Caenorhabditis elegans: one gene and its partners. The protein of the gene in region 1 interacts with the protein of each later gene in a pairwise test. Each region holds a gene or a part of one and is shown in the gene's direction. Other genes may lie near its edges.

Evidence for each region.
Region 2: the proteins of jmjd-3.2 (region 1) and ces-2 interact in a two-hybrid assay, tested with the Caenorhabditis elegans proteins (one large-scale study listed by BioGRID).
Region 3: the proteins of jmjd-3.2 (region 1) and athp-1 interact in a two-hybrid assay, tested with the Caenorhabditis elegans proteins (one large-scale study listed by BioGRID).
Region 4: the proteins of jmjd-3.2 (region 1) and zfh-2 interact in a two-hybrid assay, tested with the Caenorhabditis elegans proteins (one large-scale study listed by BioGRID).

What each region holds. Positions count from the first base shown.
Region 1 is NC_003284.9:14,446,203-14,454,096, forward strand, and holds jmjd-3.2 (JmjC domain-containing protein), read left to right. Parts: upstream 1-2,007; 5' UTR 2,008-2,027; coding exon 2,028-2,139; intron 2,140-2,702; coding exon 2,703-2,942; intron 2,943-3,128; coding exon 3,129-3,619; intron 3,620-4,254; coding exon 4,255-4,960; intron 4,961-5,405; coding exon 5,406-5,593; intron 5,594-5,639; coding exon 5,640-6,232; intron 6,233-6,288; coding exon 6,289-6,480; intron 6,481-7,104; coding exon 7,105-7,186; 3' UTR 7,187-7,365; downstream 7,366-7,894. Other genes in the region: F23D12.7 (Neuropeptide-Like Protein), read right to left, coding at 7,404-7,453, 7,501-7,630.
Region 2 is NC_003279.8:14,959,828-14,965,884, forward strand, and holds ces-2 (Transcription factor ces-2), read left to right. Parts: upstream 1-1,669; 5' UTR 1,670-1,699; coding exon 1,700-1,981; intron 1,982-2,033; coding exon 2,034-2,096; intron 2,097-4,903; coding exon 4,904-5,194; 3' UTR 5,195-5,534; downstream 5,535-6,057. UniProt on the Caenorhabditis elegans protein: Transcription factor. Required to activate programmed cell death in the sister cells of the serotoninergic neurosecretory motor (NSM) neurons. Negatively regulates the activity of ces-1 which in turn negatively regulates the activities of cell-killing genes.
Region 3 is NC_003281.10:10,879,896-10,884,793, forward strand, and holds the start of athp-1 (PHD-type domain-containing protein), read left to right. Parts: upstream 1-1,870; 5' UTR 1,871-2,068; intron 2,069-2,465; 5' UTR 2,466-2,474; coding exon 2,475-2,540; intron 2,541-2,591; coding exon 2,592-2,723; intron 2,724-3,289; coding exon 3,290-3,661; intron 3,662-4,195; coding exon 4,196-4,302; intron 4,303-4,898. Other genes in the region: C44B9.3 (C2 domain-containing protein), read right to left, coding at 93-200.
Region 4 is NC_003279.8:801,705-806,383, forward strand, and holds the start of zfh-2 (Zinc Finger and Homeobox), read left to right. Parts: upstream 1-1,663; 5' UTR 1,664-1,697; coding exon 1,698-1,770; intron 1,771-2,095; exon of another isoform or gene 2,096-2,168; intron 2,169-2,640; coding exon 2,641-2,718; intron 2,719-2,765; coding exon 2,766-3,191; intron 3,192-3,895; coding exon 3,896-4,176; intron 4,177-4,679.

The sequences.
Region 1 (7,894 bases):
CCATGTATTTCTTTCCTCTTCCATCTGTTTTTTTTTCGTATTCCTCACTTTCGCTTTTCCCATTTTTAGATATCCTATAAATTATCAAAAAAAGTTCAACTAATAAAATATTGTCCATAATTACGTCTACTTGTATTTAACTGTTTAAGTTGCTTACCAGTGTCATGACAAGAAATACAGCGGCCGACATCTCGTGAGCCCGTTTTTGACAACTTTTACTGATTCGGCCGTATCTCGAAAACTAATTTTTTTCTGGAAATGTTTTTGAAGAAAAATAATCTTCATACTACTTGCCATCATTTGTGCCTACTCACTTTGTTTTGAAAAATTCAGCAAAAAAGTTATGGAAGTGCAAACTAGTCCCTCACTTGGCACTGCTCATGCTGTACAACCAAAAATCAGGTTACTTACTTCGAATATATTTTTTTCGAGCATTTTTTAATAATTACAAATGTAAAATCACAATTAAACTTTATTTAAACACGATATCAAAATTCAGGGAAAAAAAATTCTTCACTTGCGAGAAATGCTCTAGTTGTAGTCGTACACTATTCAAGTTTAATCTATCATAACTTTTTTGCTGAATTTTTCAGAACAACGTGAGAAGACACACATGATGGCAAGTAATATGAAGATTATTTTACTTTGCCAACACTTACAGAAAAAAAAGTTTTCGAGATACCGGCAAATCAGTAAAAGTTGTCAAAAACGGGCTCACGAGATGTCGGCCGCTGTATTTCTTGTCATGACACTGGTAAACAACTTAAACAACTGAATACAAGTAGACGTAATTATGGACAAAATTTCTTGAGTTGAATTTTTTTCGATAGCATGTCCAGTTTTTAAGTTGTGCTCGTTTGAAAAACTTGTAAATTTATCAAAAATCGAAAATTGGATAGAATTATGGCCGGCACTGTATGTAAGACCTTCAAAACGTGCTCCTCTAATCCGTTGCTGTTCGGTACTCTTGTTACGTGTTAAGTTGGGACAAGTTTCCTAGCTACTCATAGTTTGTCTGCACTCTCCTAGTGACGAGAAAAAGATGAAAAGATAATCTCTCAAGGAAAAGCAGATTAATCAACAAAGCGCAGCAGAACTTTCAAATTCATTTTAGTTAATAAGTATACGATTTCCGGTGACCGAATATATGTAGTTGGTTTGTGTTGTATTTTGAATTCTGGTATATAAAATATAAGTAATAATATATAAGTAACCGTTTGAAATTGGAAAATTTTTTCGACGCAAACTTTGCCAGTGATATGTTCAATGAAACATGCTAGTTTGAAAAAATTAAGCATACAAGCACATTCCTATAAATAATTTGGTGGCCACCTTCTGTTATGTTTTATCAAAAATTAGACCTCCCGGCTATTTTGTTACAATCGAGCAGACACCCCCCCCCCCCCCCCCCCACGACACCTGTTCTCTTTGAGCACTCCATAACGTGGGAAGGCACATCTTGCGTCATATGTGACCCGACAGTCTCCTACAAAAATATGGGAAACGGGGCAGATTGAGTGATGATGTAACTTGTTCTGCGCAGTCTTCTCTGCCTGTTCTCGACCTTTTTGCGAGGATTGGCTCCAACATACGTTTTGCACCACTTCTCGATGTTTTTTAGTTTGTTTTTCAAAATTAACATATAGTTTTTCATCAATTTTAGACAAAACTAATTCATTCAATTAATTTTAACATGAAATGAAATATTCAGAACTTAACTTTAGTTGTTTTAGAATAATAGGGTATGCATTGTTAAAATTACAAAAAGTGAGATTTATATCCAAGTCTTTAAATTTTATTGTATTGCAGTTTTGGGATTATTTTAGATTTTTATTAGGAAATGCATGCAATTTTTGCAATTATTGATAGATGTACAGTTTTTAGTGTGTGTGTGTTTTTTGTTAATTTCGAGGATTAATAGAAGAAAAATCCTCTTTAAAATTTGAGTTCACACTTTTTTCCACTAGCAATATTAATTTTGAATATTTTGATCACGAGCAATAATTTTTTCAGGATTTTTTCAAAAGATGGATAGCGGTGGCCAAGGTTCAGGTTCACAAGACCAATTCGAAAAAACAGAACAACTCGTTGATGCACAATATCCAGTTCCGACAACATTGAAGCCAGATTTTTTCACAGGTGAACATTTTAATTTTGTGTTAATAACACGATCATACAATAAAAAAGGTTTGTAAACTGACAGGAGACGGAATTTTCATATCGAGAAATTAAAAAAATCCTTTTTTTCAATGTAAAAAATCTATATTTGAAATTGATTTTCATATGACTAGTTTTTTTTTCAAGCGAAGCATTATATTATTCTTTATATACATTTAAAGGTGGAGTACTGCCAGTGGAGAAATTGTTAAAAACCACTCGTTTGGTCACAAAATGACCAAATATCATGATAAAACTTTTCAAAAATTTTTGAAAATTTATTATTTACTGTCAAAAAGTGGCAATTACTCAGTTTTTGCCACTCATAATTTTCGAAGTCGACCAAAAAAACAATTTTTTCGACATTTTTTATGTTCTAATTTTGTTTAAATTATTTTTATTAAAATATTGTAGGGGTCGCAACATGCGGCATTTCTTTAAATTTCCTCAAAAGCTAGTAGATTCTCCAATTGTCAGCACAAATGATTCTGAACCAATTAATGAACAAGTTTATTCAACACAAAGTAATCATGGCGAGCTTCAAGATAAAACCGAGATTGATGAAAGAAATCGAGTGGATCAGTGCTTCGATAATGATCAACCATTTAACGGAAACAATTCAAAACTGTTAGAATCCGAGTCTCATAAACTGGGAGAGTCGTCAACTGAACCTTCAGGAACAACAATATCATCAGGAAATTATGAAATTGCTGAAGACTGCTCGGATGAGACAGAGCAATTCATCGATCCAGACAATCAAGTTCCAGCAGCAAATTTTATTACCAGTAAGCTTAAGATTTCTTTGAAAAATGTGCTCATTCAAACATTTTCTTCATGCAACTTTTTTAGTAACTTTTTCGGATGGGAACTGAAAATTATAAAACTGTGTTGCGTGTTTGCAGAGATTTTAAATATTGGGCTAATTTTTTTCTAAACAAAATGTTTTTTGAATTAATCGTTTTCATTTTCAGACGACTGCACAACAATTGAACAAACTGCAAAAATTCAAGAAGAAAGCGGAACAGATTCTTTGATTGTCAGCACAAATGATTCTGGTTCAACTAATGAACAGATTTTGCCAACACAGAGCAATGATGCTGACTTTCGTGAAAGAATTGAAATTGACGGAAGAGATCAAGTGGATCAGCATGGCAACAGTTATCCACCAATTAGTGGGAACAACTCAAAATTGAGAAAATCAGAGTCTCATGAACAGGGAGAATTTTTAGTTGGACCTTCAAGGAAAAGAAAGCCAGAAACACTAATTGAAACAAAGAGTAAGAAAAGAAAATCGGCGAGAGGAAGACCATCTAATAAGTTGAATCAATTTCAAATACATCAAGTTAGTAGTGACTGGAACGCGAACGCATTTCTTCAGTTTGCTCGACGAGACGCAGCTGGTACGATTCTAGAGTCGGAAGAAGCGAAAAAAACCATCGATGCACAGTTGGAACACTTTTCGGTATGTTGTTTCAATTAATATTAAAAAAAAAAAGAAATAGCACTTTAATAGTGTTGTAAACCTACTGACCCTACTGATAATGAACATGAAATTTCAATATAAACGAAATGTGGCTCAATTTTAAAATATAACGTTTAAATGTCAAACGCTATGTCAAACTTAAGTTATAATCAAAAAATTATTTTTTTTCCAGAAATTTCCTAATTCTTTTGGAATCGCATTAAAGATAGGAACAATTTAATAACTTTTTAATAATTTTCTAAATGTTAGAAAAATAAATAAATGAATTAAACTATTATACACACTACCAAGTATGCTCGTTGATATCATAAATTTTTACATATGCATTGTAAACATAAAACAAAGACCAATTTGAAAAGTTCAAATTTTAACACAGAACTTAATAGGGAGTTTTTTAAAACTATGTATAAAATGCGATCGGTGCGATCGGAAAAAAGTTGAACGTACTATTTTATAGCAGACATTTTGAGCTCGCATAATTGATAATTGTTTTCAGCGAAAAACTCAAACTTTCAGGTCAAAATTTTTTGTCTAAGACAGGACGTTGTAGGACGTTGTCAAAGCAAATTACAAATTATGTATATGCTTTTAACAAAACTTTAAAATATTTGCAGGAGCCCTCGTGCTCGACGGATGTTTCGGTTCATGTTGTCAGAGACAACGAGAATCTGGGCTTGGTGACAAACAAACTCCGATCGCTAGCCATTCCACCAATATCCAACCTTCCCAGTGATCTGCCTTCATTATATAAACTCCCGAAACTGTTTCTAACCGGAGCGACTTTTATGGACGTCTCAAAATCAAAAGGAAAACAAGTTATTACGAAAGCAAGCAAATGGATCAAATCTGGCAAAAATCTCGTATACGAAACATCTGGCTGTTCTGAACTATTTGATGAAACAACAAAATTCAACACTGATGGAAAGATTGAAGAAAACACAAGTGAAGAATACACAAATAAAGATCAATACAGGTTACCTGTTCCTATCTATAATATTGAGAACAACAGCGATGAAACATCAAATTTTATTAAAAATATCGTCAATACCACAACCATGTGCATCTTTCGAGGAATCGAAGAAGCATTTGGGATGGATCGCCAAACGTTTGACATCTCCACATTGGCACCTCTCTACCCCGATTACCCATTGAAAATTCGTCGACAGATGCCCCAGTCATCAGCAACCAATTTCTACATGAATGACAAAAATACCGTGCAGAGATTGGGAAATGCCTGGGCTGTCTTCGATTTTGAAGGAGTTACTCAGTTGAGAGATTTTGCGAAGAATTATGAAAGCCTTAAGGATATAGGAAGGTCAGGTACGTTTTTGAACTGTTTTTTTTTAATTCTTATTTAGCGAAAGATATTTGAGTTTTATAAGAAAATAAGTATCTTATAAAACCCAATTTCAAAATTTTTAAAGATTGGTCTAAAATTCCAGTCAGCTTTGAAAACCAAATTAGCGAAAACTTTTCAAAAGATTTCCAGGAGTTTTGAGCAAAATAAAGCAACGTCGCAACCATTTGAACCTCAATGGCATCCCAATGAAAATATTTGAAAAATATTTAGATTTTGAAATTCGTATAAAAAAAAGCACTTACTTCATTGTCGACCTTTAAATTATGGGTAATCAGAACTGAGTTCTCGCCAATTTTTGACTCTTAATCAACCCACTTGGGAACTTTTTTGATAAGTTTTAATAAAAACTAGAGAACTTCCAAAGTTTATAAAAATCATTAAATTTGTTCACCTTTCATTTTTCAGCTTACCAAGCTATCCTACGCAATCCTTCCGCATTTTCGGAAGTAATGGATGACATGAAGAAGCAAATCAAGGAAAATACGATCCCACTCAGTCCTGAACACAAACTTACAGTCCATGAAAATGCGACAGTGTTGGCATTTGGAACTAATATTGATCTGGATGATCAGCGATTCAAGGAACAGCTCGATGTATGTCGTTTAAAGTTAACGGTAGATAAATAATCATTATTTTCAGGAGATCAAAAAATTGCCTGATTGTTTGAGACCCGACGGAGCCGGGAATCTTCTCAACTTTGCTCAAGAGTCACTTGCAGGTCTGAACAAACCTCAAGTTTATTGCAAGCCTCCCGGAGCAAGAACCACAGCTCACCTGGAGAACCAAGCTCTCGGGTCCATTAACATTAATCATGGACCAGGTGATTGTGTTTGGTACGGAGTGCCCATGGAGTACAGTGGCAGAATGGAGGTGCTGATCAAAAAGCATCGACTTAATGTTTATAAAAGCGGGTACTGGCCAAGTGAGCAGGAATTAAGAAATGAAAAGATACCATCGCAAAAGTTTCTACAAAAGCCTGGAGACATGGTGTACGTCGGTATTGGAACATTTCATTGGGTGCAATCTAATGATTTTGCAATAAACGTCTCCTGGAATGTTGCACAACCAACTTTTAATCAACTGGCTGCTGCAATGGTCATTCACGATCACAACATCTCGAGTAAAGCAACTACTCTCATGCCTATTGAGCCAATTGTCTGGAAAATGGCTGAAGATGGAGTGGAGGCAGAGGATGAGAATATTTTCCTGGCTCGAAAGGCTATAATGCTAAAGTACGGTTTCGTCACAGAATCATAATACTAGATAACTAATTAATTCAAAATTACAGAAGTTTGGCAAAAAGCCAGTTTGAGTTCGATTTCGCCATTCAGGAAAATATGCTCATCAGATCAGCAAAAAACGAGAAATCGATCATCCCTGTTGAGCGATGCTCTATCCAAAAATGCCGGGAAGTTCTGTTCAATATGATCACACTTGACAATAAGCAAAATCCATTCTGCCTTAATTGCATAGTTAAAGGGTGAGTTGCATTTTGTGAAGAGTGATAACTGATAAATGCGGAAGAAGGGATGTATTGTTTACTCATCATAGAAAATTTTTTTGTATTTTTTTTTTCGAATTATCATTTTTTTATTGCATTTATCGGTCGTTTATCCAACGTTTTTTCGTTGAATAACGTATATTCAAACCCGATGGAAGGCCATTTTTTGGTGATTTTTGGTTAACTATCTTGAGATTATCTACCAAAACATGCAATTAAAAAACAAAAGCTCAAAAAAGTCAAATTTGTGACCGTTGCGTCACGGAAAAATCTCCCAAATTAGAGAATTTTTCGTACGAAATTTGTTTATTTGAGTGCATTTTAAGTATATATGTTCAAACATGTAGACCACTTTTATTTTGGTTAAAAAAGTAAAAAACACACGAATAGCAAGATAAAAATAGTTTAATTGGTGTCAAAGTGTCGCATTTTGGTTTCTTCGGGAAATGCGAGAGAAGAGACGGAGATTTTTCAGCTGATTTCGCATGGCTATACGTGTGCTGACGTTACATTTTTCTGGAAGAGAAATTCCCGCATTTTTGTAGATAAAACCGCAATGAAACAGCCTGACACCACGTAATAATCTAATATTTAATTTTCCAGAAAAGTCAAAGCAACAGCATTTCAAAGGCGGGACATTGCTGACTTGGTGAAGATATTTGACGAGTTTAAATGGGTGTCCTGAAACTTTTCTTTTTTTCAACTTTCGATCCTCAATTTTCACAGCTTTCTTTTGTATTATACAATTCTTGCACATTTTGAATCACTTATCGTTTTATTGATCTTGTTTTGATTTTTTATTATGCAACATTTTTCGATATGATCAATTCTGTTTAATAAAGTCCAACTTACTAATTATAAAAAAAATTTATTCTTACATACAAAAAAGAAATCGAAAATGTTTAGTTGCATGGGTTGACAGATGGACGTGCTGTGGCCATTGGCATATTATCTGAAAATAGGAGTTTTTGATTTTGTATGCAATTATTTTGAAATTACTGAAATCCTCTGGGTCTTGTGGGTAGCGAAAATCTTCAGCGTTATCAATATTTGGAATTGGTGCGGACAGAGAGATCCCAACGAGCAAAACCATGAAGAGAGTCAAGAAAGACAGTAGGAAACGAAACATTTTCTGAAAGATGAGATTGGGTTAGGAAAAAAAGAAACACGAGGAGTTCGGTGAAGAAAAATCAGACAATGACGAAAAGATGTTTTCAATGTTATCACACAAAATGTTGAGGTTGAAGCAACTGCGGCGGCAGTTGTCAATTTTCCCGGTGACATGTAAATAAAAGAGTTGGTGAATCATACAATTTGATTTCTAGAGAAACGATTGAAAATATATTCTGTTTAGAAACCTGACTTAAAATCAAAACCTGAGTTAAAATCATGT
Region 2 (6,057 bases), on another chromosome or scaffold:
GCCGAGAGCCGAGAGCCCCACAGCACTGCCCCGTATACCCTCCGGTAGGCTAGATTTGTAACAGTTACGCAGTATTACTAGCCATTGCGTAAGTTCAAAAGAGGGACCGATGAGCACATGGTACTTGAAAGAGGATGAAAGGTCGGGAGGATGAATATTGTTGCATGAAGAGAAGTGATTTCGGATGCATGTGAAGCCTTGGTGGTAATATTAATGATATCCCTCTAATATTGAATTTTTAAGATGTGCTCTCAAACGTGAGGGTTTAATTGTTGAAAGTAAGGCCATAAAATTAAAACCCTGAATTTTAGAATACTGACTGCTGGTAATTAAATCTTCATTTCTCATTGATTTCAGGTGATTTCAGACAGCATCAAAACATTCATTCAATGTTTCAACAAATCCGTAACCCAACAAACCTTATTACCTAATGACTACCTACCATTCAAATACTTGCGTAATGATTGTCTCTTCCTCCATGTCTACCACCAACCCCTCATTCTCCTCTTCAGAAGAAGAGCCGACGTTCCAATGCACACGAGACACCTATCTCTCATAGAAAACGAATATTCAAATGCCATTGCATACGGTTGCTCTGCGTCTCGTTCTCTTCCCGTGCTCTCTAGTGTTGCGCACTGTTGCACCCTCTGATGGCCGGTGGTGACCTCTTGGAGGGCGGGCGGAAAATGCTGCCACCCTCATCCCGCATACCGCCTGTCATTTCTCGAGACAGCCGACGCGCAATCACTCTTATGCTCCGATGGGTATATGGGGCAACAGGGTGGTCCCAGTAGACCCAATTTCTTACAACTTCGTTTTTTTTTAGTTTTTGATTCTACTAATAAAAAATCATATGTAACTTTGAACTACAAAAATCGCGCAAAACTCTTAAGATGTTTCCAGTTACAATACTCTGATAAAACTTAAATTATTCACAAAAAAATATAGATTTCAAATATGACTACTGTAGAGGTCATTTCATTTCCTCCCCATCTAACGTATGCATCTTGAATTTTCTTCAGTGATCATTTTTGATTAAGAAATGTATTCTAGAGCTAAAAACTTGAATTATATTATATACTCTTTTGTAATAACAATTAGCCTACTTCAACTTTTCATTTTAAGATATGACAAGCAAAATTCCAATTATTTTGATTAAACACAACTTTTCAAACTTGTTAAGTAACTTGAGGATCCACATTGACTTTATCAGTACTCACCGCTTATCTAACAACCTCTACCAATTCAGGTTCCACCCTAATCCTAGATTGTCTCTTTCCTCCATTTCCTTTTACTCTTTTTTATGATTGTGCAAACATTTGACCTCTTTCTTTTCTACCTTCCAATATATTCTTCTGTTCAATTTAATTTACCATGGGCATATCTTTGTTTTTTTTTTGAAACGGAATTGGATGGTGTAACCTGAAACATGGCTGGTCTATAGTTGAATTTTCAAGCTTATAGTTTATGAAACTCTAAAAATGTTTTAATCAAAAGTTCAATATTGACGTACCCTATTACATCAATTAAAGGATTTTTTTGGGAATTTTCCATCTAGCCTTTGTCTTCTAGGGTTAAAACTATTCACTTAGCTTATCCATCGGAAGTTTAAACTGAAAATCAAACATTTACCTCTTCAACTCTCTTATAGTTAATAAATCTGTGTCTTTTTTAGCCCCAAATTATCACAGCAGACGCAATGGACTTTCATAGAGCACTATCGGCGCTTTTCACAAATCAAGCAGCCGTTCAACCACTGCTCGGCTCACTTGGTTTCCCATTCAACGACGGAACTTCTATTCTGACGACTGCACTTGCTGCACAGTCCGGCGGAAAGAAGTTGGACACTCCGTTGGGGATTTTACCATTTGACTCACTGCCCACGACAAATCTTTTAACACCAACCAAGAAGATCAAACTAGAAGATGAATTGTGTGCCAGTCCAGTGTCAAGCAGGTCGAGTACGGTTAGCAGTTCACACGTGAGTTGGGAAAAATTATTAGCACTTATAAAACTATTGGAATTATTTTCAGTTTTCAAGTCCCCAACGGTCACCATCACGAAAGATGTCGGTTCCGATTCCAGAAGAAAAAAAGGTTTGTTTCAATTTTTTAAGTTTCAAGTGTATACAATTCCAAAAAATCTGAAAACCAATAGAGACTTACCATGAGGTTAAAAATATTCATAAATCGTATTTGCGTGGTCTTAAGTTCAAATCACTACAGTTACGTAACACGACTCCTGTTAGTTACGCAACGACGACCGCGAGGTGTCTGTTGGAGATGGTTTATGGGTGTCAGAATTTTTGATAGTGTGAAAGTCAACTAGTATTAACGCCCCCACCCAAACTATTATAATTATAAGTTGCCTTATTTACCGTATTCCTGGAGTTTCCTCTTAGTGCGGAGCATTGTCAACGCCATTTTGTCTCTAAGCTATGCTAATGAATAATTACTCCTAACAATCCCAATTCAAAAATCCGCTGGTTGTTCCTGGGATAATGCGGTACAGACTGCCTCCAATTAAGAGCTCTTCGAGATTCGGCTCATTGTTTAGCACCACCCAACTGTTGCCATAAGAAAAAGAAGGGGTAATTACATACAGTCTACCTGACAGAGAAACCTTCATGTGTGTGGAGGAATTTGAATATGAATATACGAGAGGGGCATGACCGGACAGGAAGGGGTGTTGCGCAACTATACCCCCGTAGAGGACTTGGGCTACCATTTATATTATTCAAATGAGGCGGGAATTCAAAAAATTAAGATCAGCATCACTTCTTGTTCAGCTAGCATCAAATACTAAGTAAGCTATATTTACTGCGTCGTACAAGTACCCACATTCTCATTTTGTAAAAAAATTGTAATTTTTCGTAGCGCCAGTGCGAAATGGCCAAATATCATAGTGGCACGTTGCCGGCCAATATTCTATTTGCTTTCGGTTTTATGGCCATTTGCCTGAGTTTTTCAAACACATATTACTTAAATACTATAATAGTTAACAAATAATTTTCAACTAACAAAATGTTACCGGTTACTTTTTCTACATGTGTAATTTAAAAAAATAATTTCCACAGAATTTTCAACTTTTTGCAATTTGTTGTTTTGTCACAAAGTGCCCAGGGAAATTTATACAGATGACTAAACATGCATTACAAAAGTCAGAACTGACCAAATTTTCTGTAAATGCGAGCAAAATTTTTGTTTAGGTTCTGAGTTTAAAAACATTTCAAACATGTTGCAAACATTCGTGATGTAAGTTTTCGTTACAAAAACTATTATATAAAGCTATTTAATAGGATTTTTAAAACATGCTCAAAATCTAGAAATTTGAGAATCATGTTCAATCCTCTGTATTATTTTTCCTGGTCGATTGATGACAGAACTGCAAATGGCAGAGTGTAGAAAAATTGGTGCAAATTATTTTCTTATTAAACTTTGTTTCATGAGCACAAAGTTGTGGGTCACTTAGCAATTCTAGTCAAAATATAGTCCCGGCTGATTTCAGCTGATGTAGCTTTTTTCGTAATAAAGTTATGTAAACCAACATCAAGAGTGTAGACAAAATGAACGGCAACATTTTGTTAATTAAAAATATTTTGCTAGATGTTATCGTATTCGAGTTATACTTGTTTGAACAACTCAAGCAAATCACCTTAAAAGCGAAAACGAATAGAATATTGGTCGGCACTGTATATGTTGTCGTTTTATGAAACTTTAATGTCCTTCTGTAACAAAAGACTCAAACTTTTTTGGCCTAACGCATATTACATCTAAGTTTTCTTTTACGGGCGGTGCCCCTCCGAGCATAAAACATACGGAAAAATATATAGAGGGGTCGTACATTTTACACAACAAAACCCACTCATTCTGGTGAACGGCATACGGTGGTTAGAAGAGAGGCTTACACAAAACACAACTGTCACACCGATTTTTTGAATAAACTTACGTGAATATGAGATACTTTTCCTTTGATATTTAATATGGGATTTGCGATAATGTGTAGCTCTTGTTTTATAAAACGGAATAACTTTGGCATATTCCTTAATAAAGTATATGAAAACTCAAAAAGTCGCATAAGAAATAACTAGTAGTGTATGTGTGCTTCATATCTTTTCGGGGATATGAAATATTAAAAACGTACAACTAATGAAATGTATAAAATTATTTAATTATTGTATTTTTGCTTAAAAAAGTTCTTCTAAATAATTTATCTTGAAGCTACATGGAAAAATGGGGAAAAATGGTATCATCAAAATTTCGGCCTAGCGTACTTCAACTGACCCTAACTCAAAAACAACAAAAGATACAGAACAGTCATCAACTAACACATTGTAGTGCTTGAAATGCTTGTTAATTTTGTAGTTGATCATTTTTTCATATCTTTTACGTTTCAGGAGTTAGCGTCGTTCAAAGTTTAAAAAGTCATGTTTGCAAGCATTTTCGGCACTTTCAACTGATATTGTTGTATCGATACGCTATGTATGAGGATGTTATTACACTAATGTGCTAAACTAATAGTCTATTACCTGAGGGTGTATAAGTTTTCGATTTCCCAAAGAAATGACAAAAATCGGAAAAATTAAATGTTTTGATCGGCAGAGAACGGAGTTGGAAATAATCTTAACGGTGCCCATCATGGCTGATATTGATAGGCTTGTCATTCTAACTGTCTTCTATATATCCACAAAAAATATCCTAGAAAAAATCAAAACTGAAAAAAAAACGACAAAACTTATTTATCACCCTAATAGAATTATGATTCTTTGCTAGGCTAACTGTGCTTAGAGATTTATTAATTCCTAGTTGATAGGCTTTTCGCAAATTGTGTATTACTTTTGTAGACTAATAAATTCCTAGTTTCTGAAAACTTAACAAATCACAATTAATCTCAGCAATTACAGGACTCTGCATACTTCGAGCGTCGGCGCAAAAACAACGATGCAGCGAAACGTTCGAGAGACGCACGTCGTCAAAAAGAAGAACAAATCGCATCAAAAGCTCATGCTTTAGAACGGGAAAACATGCAACTACGTGGAAAGGTCTCAAGCTTAGAGCAAGAGGCCGCGCAGCTCAGATTTCTCCTCTTCTCCAAAATCTCACCAGCAAATTCTGAAGTGTCCTGCGAGTCAAACGATTCAACGGAAACTAATGATTCTAATGATTCTAAAAGCGATTCAACCATTGAAGTATGAAATTGTTTGTATTTCATATACCGGACGCTTAAAAAAAGATTAGTGTTGTTTACGCACTTTTGTTGTAAATTTACAGTCGTTACTTCAAAGCTTCTATTTATTTGAATGTTTCTCTAGGTTCTTGAAATTGCTTTATTTTTCTTTCCTTAGCTTTAAATCGGTTCTCTATACCACCCATTCATCTTGATCTATCTCTTAAGCTTTCATTCTCCCTACCTCAATCCCCTATCAGGTTATTCATCTGCGGGTGCGTGTATATTTCCTGATAGTTTTTCAACTTATCATTGATGATTTTTCTACAAATTCTTATTTTGACAATAAATATTGTGTATGCATTTTATGTACTTTTTTGACATTTTTTTTCTAAATGGTTCAGAAATATATGTATTTGATATATTATAGTACACAATATAATAAGATCTGTAACCAACTTTGTAATATTTTGCACTTTATAATAGTTCTAAAAGAATTAAACCTGAATTTTTTAACTCGGAATATATGAATGAGTTTTAAACAATTCCAAATATTTACATTCTTGACTTTTTGTAGCCATTAATTTATTATAAACTGTAGAAGTGACACTTGTCACTATCTAAAATTCGGTGTGCTAGGCAACACTCCTAAGTTATTATTTGTTGCTCCTCGAATTTCAAAAAACTTCTCAAAATTTATGGCGGTTCAAAATTTCGAAAAAGTACACTGATTATAGCTAGCATCTCAAACTTTGCTTACTTTTCTGTGTCGCATCTGTCCGATGTTGAATTTTTTGGAATTATCGTCTTTTATTGCATTTTTTGGTATTTTATTTTTATTTTTTTATTGTTTTATTTCGTTAATTAAACCGATAGGTAATCAAACATCCT
Region 3 (4,898 bases), on another chromosome or scaffold:
CTCTGAAATTAGCGCGAAAATTAACCAATTATGTTTTTTTCCAAAACTTTTGGACTATTTTTCAAGGAATCTTATAAATTTCCAAAACTCACAGTCATATAGCTCATAGTTGCACATCCACTAGTCTCTGTACCCCATGAGGTCTCATCAATTGGACATGGTTTCCGTTCCACAGAGAGAACATTCACGTGGAGCCACATTTCAGAGATGACCGGGCTCACGGAGCACACCAATAATAGTAGAATTCCATAGAAGATGGGCGACGACATTTTAGTGTAGAGTGTGTGTCTGAAAGAAGGATTTTTTGTTGAAAATCAGGAAAAAAAACGGAAAAAAATTAAAAATTATTTTAAAAAAGTTGCAAATAAATCAAAAACTGCCATTTTTTCAATTTTTCGGAGAGAAAATCGAGAAAATGCAACTTTTTCTGCAGAAAAATATTCAAAAATTCAAAATTTTTCCAATTTTTCGGTGTTTTAGAGAAAATTTCAATTTTTACTTCGGAAAAAAATTTTTTCTGCAACTCGAGGAAATCGTTTTTTTAATACGACCAGAAAGGAATTTTAGGAAAATTGGAAAATTCTGAAGCTTTCAGAAAATTGAAAATTGCCAATTTTTTGAAGAGAAAAGCTAAAAAATTAAGATTTTCCCCAAAAAAATATAGGTTTTTTCGAATTTTTAAAAAAATTTCAATTCAGAACCAAACATTTTCGGTGATTTTTCAATAATTATTTTTCGAAATTTGGAAAAATCCAAAAAAAAGTGTGAATTTCAGTGAGAAAAAAAAAGCTAATTTCTGCAGAAAACAGTGAAAATTTGAGAATTCTAGGAAATATCGAAATAAAAAAAAGAATGTCGATTTTATCGGATAAAATAATACATCGACATACTTTGAGAGACTGGAATAAGAATAACACAATGACTGACTAATTGGATGCATGGTCAGGTAGAAGGAGGAAGGGGGTGTCACCTAATTATAGGCGGAGCTGGAATTACAGAGCGTCTCGAGAGATGGTTATCTTGTCGAAGGACGGGATTAGCACCTTTTACAACGTGTAGATGTCTATTGAAAGAACAAAGGATTTGATTTGTGATGGGCTGAAGATTAAGATGTTTATTGCCTTGTTTTGGAGCTTTATCTGGGCAAAAGATAAGATTTTTTTATACAAAATTCGAATTTTTGACGAAAAACGTAATAAATAATTGGATTATAGAGGATTATAGACCCAAAATGTGCTCGAAATCTGAAATTTTGTCCATTTGTCTGAGTTGCAGTAGTTGATGGAAGGTATACCTATTATAATTTGGTAGATGCACAAAAGTTGGCAGGTGTGTGGTGCACACATATCGACCGTAAATGTACCAAAAAAACACAAAAAGTATGCAAAAACAGCTACTTCACTGACAAGTAAACAAAATTTAAGATTTTAGGTTATTTTTTGCGATTTTGATTCTATTTTCAATTGAGGAGCAGTAAATAGCGGTTCTGGGTACTAAAAATGTGCTTATTTTTGTTTATTTTCCGCTTGAATTCATTTTTTCAACCCAGAGGTACCACACAACATCATCTCACTACATTTTTTGTGATATATCAAATATAATATGATTTTAAAAAAATTGAAAATACTTTTAATGGAAAATCTGACAGAAACCAAGATAAAAAACTACAAAAAACTGGGAAGAACTGGGAAAAAATTTTTTAAAAAAGTTTTCTAAAATTAAAACTACAGTACACTTTGTTCAAGGCGCATGTGCCGTTTATAACATCGTGGCGAGACCCTCGCCGAAACTCTGTCCATGCTGCTTATGATTACTGTAGTTTATTTATTGTTTAATTTTCTTAAATCTTTTATTTGTTCAATTTCCTCGTTTTCCTTCGCTTTTGTTCCAATTTTCTGTTGAAAAAAGTATATTCATAACAAAAATTATTTCTTTCTTTCCAAACAAGCCAAAAACAAGGCCATAAACCGGAAATAGCCGACAAAAGAAGTGGAGATGAGTTTTAGGGTTCGAATAGGACTGCCGATGGTTTACAATGCCGATTGTGACTGTGGAGATGGCTGTAAAGGTGCGAATAGTGATTCTTTTCAAGTTAGCCGCTGGAAATTTCTCTGAAAATCTGAAATTTTACCTGAAATCTGAAATTAAATTCAAAGAAATGCGTGAAATTATAAATTTTTATGAATTTTCTTCAATTTCCCCTAAGAAATCAAGATTTTATCCGTAATTTCCGAAATTATAGGAAAAAACCTAATTTTTTTCGGCTTGACGCAACTGCGCTCCATTGCGAATTACGAAGAAATAGTATGTGAATCGAGGAGGGCACAGACAGCTAGACATCATGCTTCTCATGAAAATTCATTCGAATTTCTGCGATTTCTATGACGATTTTTCATTTTTTCTTTGATATTTTAATTTAAAATGCATTTAAAAAATCATTTCTCATTGATTTTCTTAGTTTTCAGAAAATATCAATGCAGAAAAAAGAGAAAGAAGGCCGAAGAAAGCTGAAATACGACTCAAACGACGGTCTTCTGCCGGTAAAATTGGCAAATTTTCACTTTTTCGCCTCAAATTCCAAATTTTTGTAGGAAATTCGCCGAGTTTGCGGTTTTCCACACCACATTTCCGAAGAATTGTCGGCGAGAGGGTCTGGAAAGAAGAAAAAGCAAGTGGAGGAAGAATGGAAATGGCCTGAAGCTCAAATATGCGGAATTTGCTCTGTAAATACATTGATTATTTGGAAAAATATTGGAAAAAACTAATTTTTCCCTGAAAAAGGCAGAAAAATTGCAAAAAATCATCAAATCTTTGAAAATTTCGATTCAGAACTGGAGTTTAAAGTAAAAAAACCAGATAATGCTGAAATTATTTGATTTTTTAAAAAAGTTTTTAGTCCAAAAGAGCTGCAAAATTCGAATTTTTGATGATTTTAGCATTTTCAGAATAAAAATTCCCTTTTAAAAATTTATTATAGGCCTAGGTTCAGGCTTGGGCTTAGGCTTGGGCTTGAGCTAAAGCTTAGGCCTAGGCTTATGCCTTTAGGCTTAAGCTTAGGCTAAGGCTTATGCGTAGGCTTGGGCTTAGGCTTGAGCTAAAGCATAGGCCTAGGCTTAGGCTTAGGCCTAGGTTCAGGCTTGGGCTTAGGCGTAGGCTTAGGCTCATTATATTATTTTTGCAAAATTGGAAAAAAAAATCCCAAATTTTAGAAAAATCTCTCCACTGAATTCATAAATTTTCAATAAAAAAATGCCCAGATTTCCAAATAATTTTCCATGTTTTTTTGCAGTCCGGCGGTAACATTCTATGCTGTGAACAGTGTCCAGCATCCTTTCATCTTGCTTGTATTGGATACGAATCATCCGATCTTCCAGACGACAATTTTTACTGTAATCGATGTAGAAATCTTCCGGAAAACGTTCGGCTCTTTCCACCGGAAAAGTGCTCGCCGTCTGTAAATCCAGTGCTCCGAGTTGAAAATGAAAATCACCGAAATTGGGAAGCTATTGAATATCATTGTAATCGACTTAGAGATGAGGAACAGGCCGAGAAAATGAAAAAAGATGTTGCTTATGGGCCAAAAAGTGAATTTGCAGAAATTCAAGACTGTTTTCGGGATAAAAATCTACTGAAAGCACTTGGAATGGCTAATCCCATGGATGTAAGGGAGTTTTTTCAAAAAAATGAATTAATGCTTCAATTGAAAAATTAATGAAAATCGAAAATTCTGGATTTTTTAAAATTTAATTTTTTTTTTTAATTTTCGATAAAAATAGTTTTAAAAAATGCGAAATTTTATTAGCAGAAAATATTTAAAACACTTTTTCTCCCGAAAAACGTTGAAATTTTCGGCGTTCGATCCGATTTTCGGGAAAAAAGTGAAAAAAAAATTAGAAAAATCGGGATTTTTAACACTGTAGGATAGGATAGAAACAGAAAAAAACACAATTTATTTGCAGAAAAATGTACAAATATTTTTGAGTATTTTCGACCTTTTTTCCTGAAAATTATCGTTCTTGAGACCATTTTTCCGATAAAAATATTAAAAATAACGCTTTTTTAATTCTTGTTTCGAGTTTTTGTGAAAATTCTTTATTTCTGTGTCCTTCAAAAATTTCCAATTTTACAATAATTTTCTCGAGAAACCTAGATATTATTCCAAACATTTATAAATAATTTTTCCAACATTTTTCAGTATACAATACCACCGGAATTCCAAGCAGATCGTGATTGTTTCTCTGGTGATGCAATGGAAGACAAGAGGCCAACTATAATGGGAGAAGTGTGTGCTGAGTGCAATTTGTACGTTTTCGTAGCAAAAATGGACCTAAAGTGCCAAAAAAAAGAGGAGTTTCCTACCAGAAAGTATTGAAATTGAGCGATTTTCTCTCGAAAAATATCCGAAATTTTTCTTCAAAAAAAATCATTTTCGATTCTTAAAATGATCTCAAAATCTGAACTTTTAGATTTTTTTCTGAAAAACACGATAGAAAAATCAAAAAGAAAAATCAAAAATCAAAAAATTTCGTTTTTCGATTTTCCGATTTTCCAAAAATTAGCTTCACATTTTGGACATTATTCTTATTTTTAGAAGAAATTTGGATTTTTTTCTTACAAATATAAGCAAAATTAAATAAAAAATCGAATTTTATGGTTAATTTTCTGAACATTTTTTTCAATTTTTCGATGTTTCGATTTTCACTGAAAAACATCGAAAAATCGAAAAATGGCACCCTTGATCCCTTCTTGAAACTCCAATTATTATTTTTTTTGCAGAAAAGACGACTGGACACGAATGCTAAAATGTGACTTTTGTGATCTAATTTGGCATCAAAAATGTGTTTTTTTTCTGGAAAAAAAGTTTTAGCTAATTCAAAAAGTCAAGATTTTAAAATCTT
Region 4 (4,679 bases), on another chromosome or scaffold:
CTTCGTGTGGCGCCCCGCCCATTTTATTGCTCCTCTCACGCTTCATTCTCACTTTTTCTGGGGATCCTTTTTTTTGCAGACCTAAAAATTTGAGCTCAGCCATATTTTTTTTGTAAATATAATCAAAAAAAAATAGACATTAGTCAAAAAAGTTGTTTTAAGCCTAAAAAAATTTTTCAGATAAAAAACGTTTTTCTTTAACTTTTTTGAACAGTTTTTCAGTGAAATATTTTTAAATTTTTATTTTAAAAAAATGTTTGTTTATCTAAGCCTAAGCCTGAGCCTAAGCCTAATAACCCTAAATAGCGTCAGTGTGGGAGCTCACGCTCCCCCACTGACGCCAAGCCTAAGCCTACGCCTAAGCCAAAGCCTAGGCCTAAGCCTGGGCCGAAGCTGAGACCTAAGCTTAAGCCTAAGCCTAAGACTAAGACTGAGTTCAAGCCTAAGCCTAAGACTAAGCCTGAGTCTCAGCCTAAGCCTAAGCCTAAGCCTAAGCCATTTTTAAAAAGCTTAAAAATTTTTGCAATTACTATTTTTTCTGAAAATCTGTAAAAATATCGAATTTTTAGAGTTGCTATAAAATTTAAAATAATATTCAAAAAATAATCCGAAAAAATTAAATTTTTTTTCTCAAAACGTAGATCATACAGAATCAGCTTTAAAAAATTCAAACCATTTTTCGTTTCAAAAATGTTCAGAAAATTTGTAAAACTTGAGTTTTGAAGAAAGTTTTCATAAACTAGCTCTTGAATAGGGTTTTTAAGTAGGCGTTAAAACGCTTGCCTGCCTGACCTTCAGGCGACTTTCGCCTGCCTGCTTGACTTTCAGACGTTCTCTGCCTGCCTGCCTGACTTTAAGGCGACCTCCGCCTGCCTCTCGCCTCAATCCGAGCCTTATCTCTTAAAATGTTTTTCATCAAATTGATAAAAATACGGAAATTACAAAATTTTGTAAGTTCATGCCAAAATGCAGGCATCAGGCCCTGAGGCCACGCCTGCCTAGGCCTCCGACTTTCGTTCTACAATTGTCGTTGCCGTTTCCTTTATCCCATTTTCATACCCCAAAGTTATGATTTTTCTTACACCCCTTGCGCTGCTGCTGCTTCCGCTCCCGTGATCTTATGAATCAGTAGTCAGAACTGCAGGTGTGAATCTCCACAATGATCACCCAATAAACGCGAAACACCATTAGAAACAAAGTGTCCCCCGTTTTTTTTTTCTGAGAGTGTCGGCACCCCCCTAACATATGCGGGGAACATTGTCTCAAGTTTTGTGTGCTCCTCCAGCTCCTCCATATGGTTACCGTAGTCCCCTGTCAGTGTTGTGTAATTGTTGTTGTAACTATCCCCCGAATACCTCTCCTCACATTCATTCACAACACAGGTGTCAACTCAACTCTCAGTGCTCATTTGAAGTTTATGAAGTTTAGCTTCCGGGGATGGCTCTCCTGGGCTCCCCGCTCCCTCGAAAATTTAATTAATTGCAAGCACATGTGGTGGTGGTGGGGCGAGCTCCGCGCTTCCCCCCCCGCCCCGATTCTCTCTCTCTCATTTGCGACTCATTAGATTTTAAATCACTCTCAAACTTTCCACTTTTCCAACTTTCGCGTTTTTTAAATTTTTTTTTCACTTTTTCCTCACAAATTCATCCAAAAAAATTTCCAGAGTTGCCCCGCCCATATATTGGCTAAATGGTAGAATGGACGTGGCACTTTTGACAATGGATGACAACAACAAACCGCCGACAAGTTCAGAGTCTACGGAGAGTAGGGGTGAGTTTGGCCGGGGGACCGATAATTTTTAGGCCAAGACTTCTTTTTTTTTAAATCATTTTCAAAGGTACGTTACCTTCACGTGGTGCCAGGTTGTCCCATTGCTTTTTGATCTACAGAAAATGCGGGATTTTTTCCCCAAAAAATGTGACATAAGCAAGTTTTTAAATCTTTTCTCCCGCATTTTTTTGTAGATCTACGTAGATCATACTCTGACACCACGTGTACCTTGAACCTCCTGGCTTTCTGAAACTAGAGTTCGTCGCTAGAGCGCATTTGCATTGTCGTGGTATTTAATTTACAGTACCGCCAGAATCATGTCGCGCCGCTTGTAGTCTAGTGGTTAACACGCTTCAGCTCTAAACAATAGGTCCGGGGTTCGATTCCTTGCAAGATGAAATTTCTTTCTCAAGATGGAGGTACATATGTGCTTTAAATGTGCACTAGAGATAGCGAAACTGATACCATGGTCCGACATGTACAGGGTTCCGCGCGCGCCTAGGGCCTCCAAAACGCCTGCTGCTCCAGTTTTGCGGCGACCTCCGCCTAACTCGCGGCGCGCCTTCTGTATAGTCACGGCCTTCTGTCTTCCCTCATAAATTGAAATGGAAGAGTTTTTGCCGAACTAGGCCATCTTGGCTCGGTCACATCTGGGCTCGATTTTAGTTGTAAAACTAAATGTATTTGTCCGTGTGGAGTGCACGACTTGCCCACGCGTTGACCGGCGGGCGATTGCCAATGGAGCGCGAAAAATTCAATAAGGAAGGCCAGAACCCCGTGTATAGTGCCGCGCGTGGAGCCCGAAAAGTGTCAGCCGCGGCGGAAGAACCACATTCCATAGGACTAAAAAACTAAAGTTCTCTCTTTCAGAAACATCACCACCAATGATGCCAGATTCTGCGGAGATAATGCGACTTCTTACGGATCCTTCGACGGCTCAGATGTTTGGTAGGTCATAGATCAAATTTTTTCCGCAATTTCCCGAAAAATTTCAGCCAACGAAAACACAAAATGTCAGCTGGGACGGATTCTCGCCGCGTCAGGCTTCGACGAGGCGAGCCTCTCCTCCTCGTTTCCGTTCGATCCGACGCTCGGCGCGTTCGCCGACATTTCCCAATTCTCATCACTCCGAAATTCGTCGAAAACGCTGAAATGTCCAAAGTGTAATTGGCACTACAAGTACCAGGAGACCCTTGAAATTCATATGAAGGAGAAGCACAACGATGTGGATGTCAAGTGCATGTTTTGTGCCGAGAACCGTCCCCACCCGAAGCTGGCTCGCGGTGAGACGTACTCGTGCGGTTATAAGCCATATCGATGCGATTTGTGTCGGTACAGTACGACGACAAAGGGCAATTTGAGTATTCATATGCAAAGTGATAAGCATCTTCATGCAGTGCAAGAGCTCCCGAATAGTATAGGTAGGTGGGGGGGGGAGGCGAAGGGTACTGTAGTTTTCGTGGTGGGACCCAAGAATTTGAATTTCACAAGAATTTAACTGTTGAACTCGAACTTTTCGATTCTAGGGTCTCGCCACGCAAAAACACTTACGCCAACTTTTTTGAACCCTAAAAAATGATACTCAAATTAGAGTTCTCAGTGAGCTAAATTCGATTTTACAGTATTTTTTTAATTTGACGTTCTGTGGGTCTTACACTCAAAGGGTACTGTAGTTTTCGTGGTGGGACCCACTTGTCCAAAAATGGACGTGATTATATTTGGATTAAAGCCCCTAACTTTTCTGATTTTTTTAATAAATTGGTTTTATTTTGAAAAGACTGAGAAAATTGAGTTTAGATCGAAATCAATAAAAATCGCGTCGAGACCCAAATTTCCCGGGTCTCGGCACGAAAATGGGGGAGAGGGTACTGTAGTTTTCTGGCTTCTCTCATAAATTGAAATGGAAGAGTTTTTGCCGAACTAGGCCGGCCATATCTGGGGTAGATTTACGGCGCGTTGCGTGTCGCGGCTCAATTTTTGTTTTAAAACATGAGGAAGACCAGAATCCCGTGTTTTCGTGGTGGGACCCAAATGGGTCATGATTATACTTATTTGAAAGGCCTTAAGCTGAATTCAGATTTAAGATTTTTATTATTTTAATTCAAAAATATCCTGAATTTTCCAGAATTCGCAGCCAACTTCGCGTGTGGTGCTCCAGTTAGCCGAAGTAGTCCAATCGAAGAGTCCGACGGATCCCTGGTCTGCTTGATCTGCGGTATCTTCGCCACCGAATCTATCGCCGAAATGATGGAACACGTGGAACAAGACCGTTCCAGGACGTTCCAAGGAGACGTTACCGTCCTAAACGGGAGCTTCCGGTGCCACTTGTGCCCGTATAATACCACATTGAAAGCCAATTTTCAACTACACACAAGGACGGATAAGCATCTGCAAAAGGTTCAAATTGTGAGTTTTGTATTCCCCTCTCATCATCTTCTTATTTTTATTGTGTCGCCCTTTTCCCATTTTTGTGTGTCTGTGTGTGTATGCGCACCGATTTGCATATACACATAAATTCATGATTTAATAGCGTAATGAGTAATATTTGCTTTGCCAAGGCTAACAGTTTTCGTATTTTAAAGCCTTTTTTCTACAATTTTTGAAAAAAAAATTCAAAAATTTGAACATTTCAATATATCCCTAGAAAGCTCAAAATTGTAGTGAAAATTTTGAATTCAGTACGCTGAGACCTTTAAAATAAGTATAATCATTACTAGGTTTTGGTTCTGACGCGAAAGTGTTCGTGGCGGAGCCCAAGCAAGGCGTAATTGATTATAGGGTCTTTGCACGCAAAAAATTTAAGGTCCGGTAGGCGTGGCGGGGAGTTTTTCTTGAATTATTTTAGTTTTTCATAAATTTTCAATTTTTTGGAATTTATTTTTCTCTCCCTTCCCCCGCGTAGTCTGAGC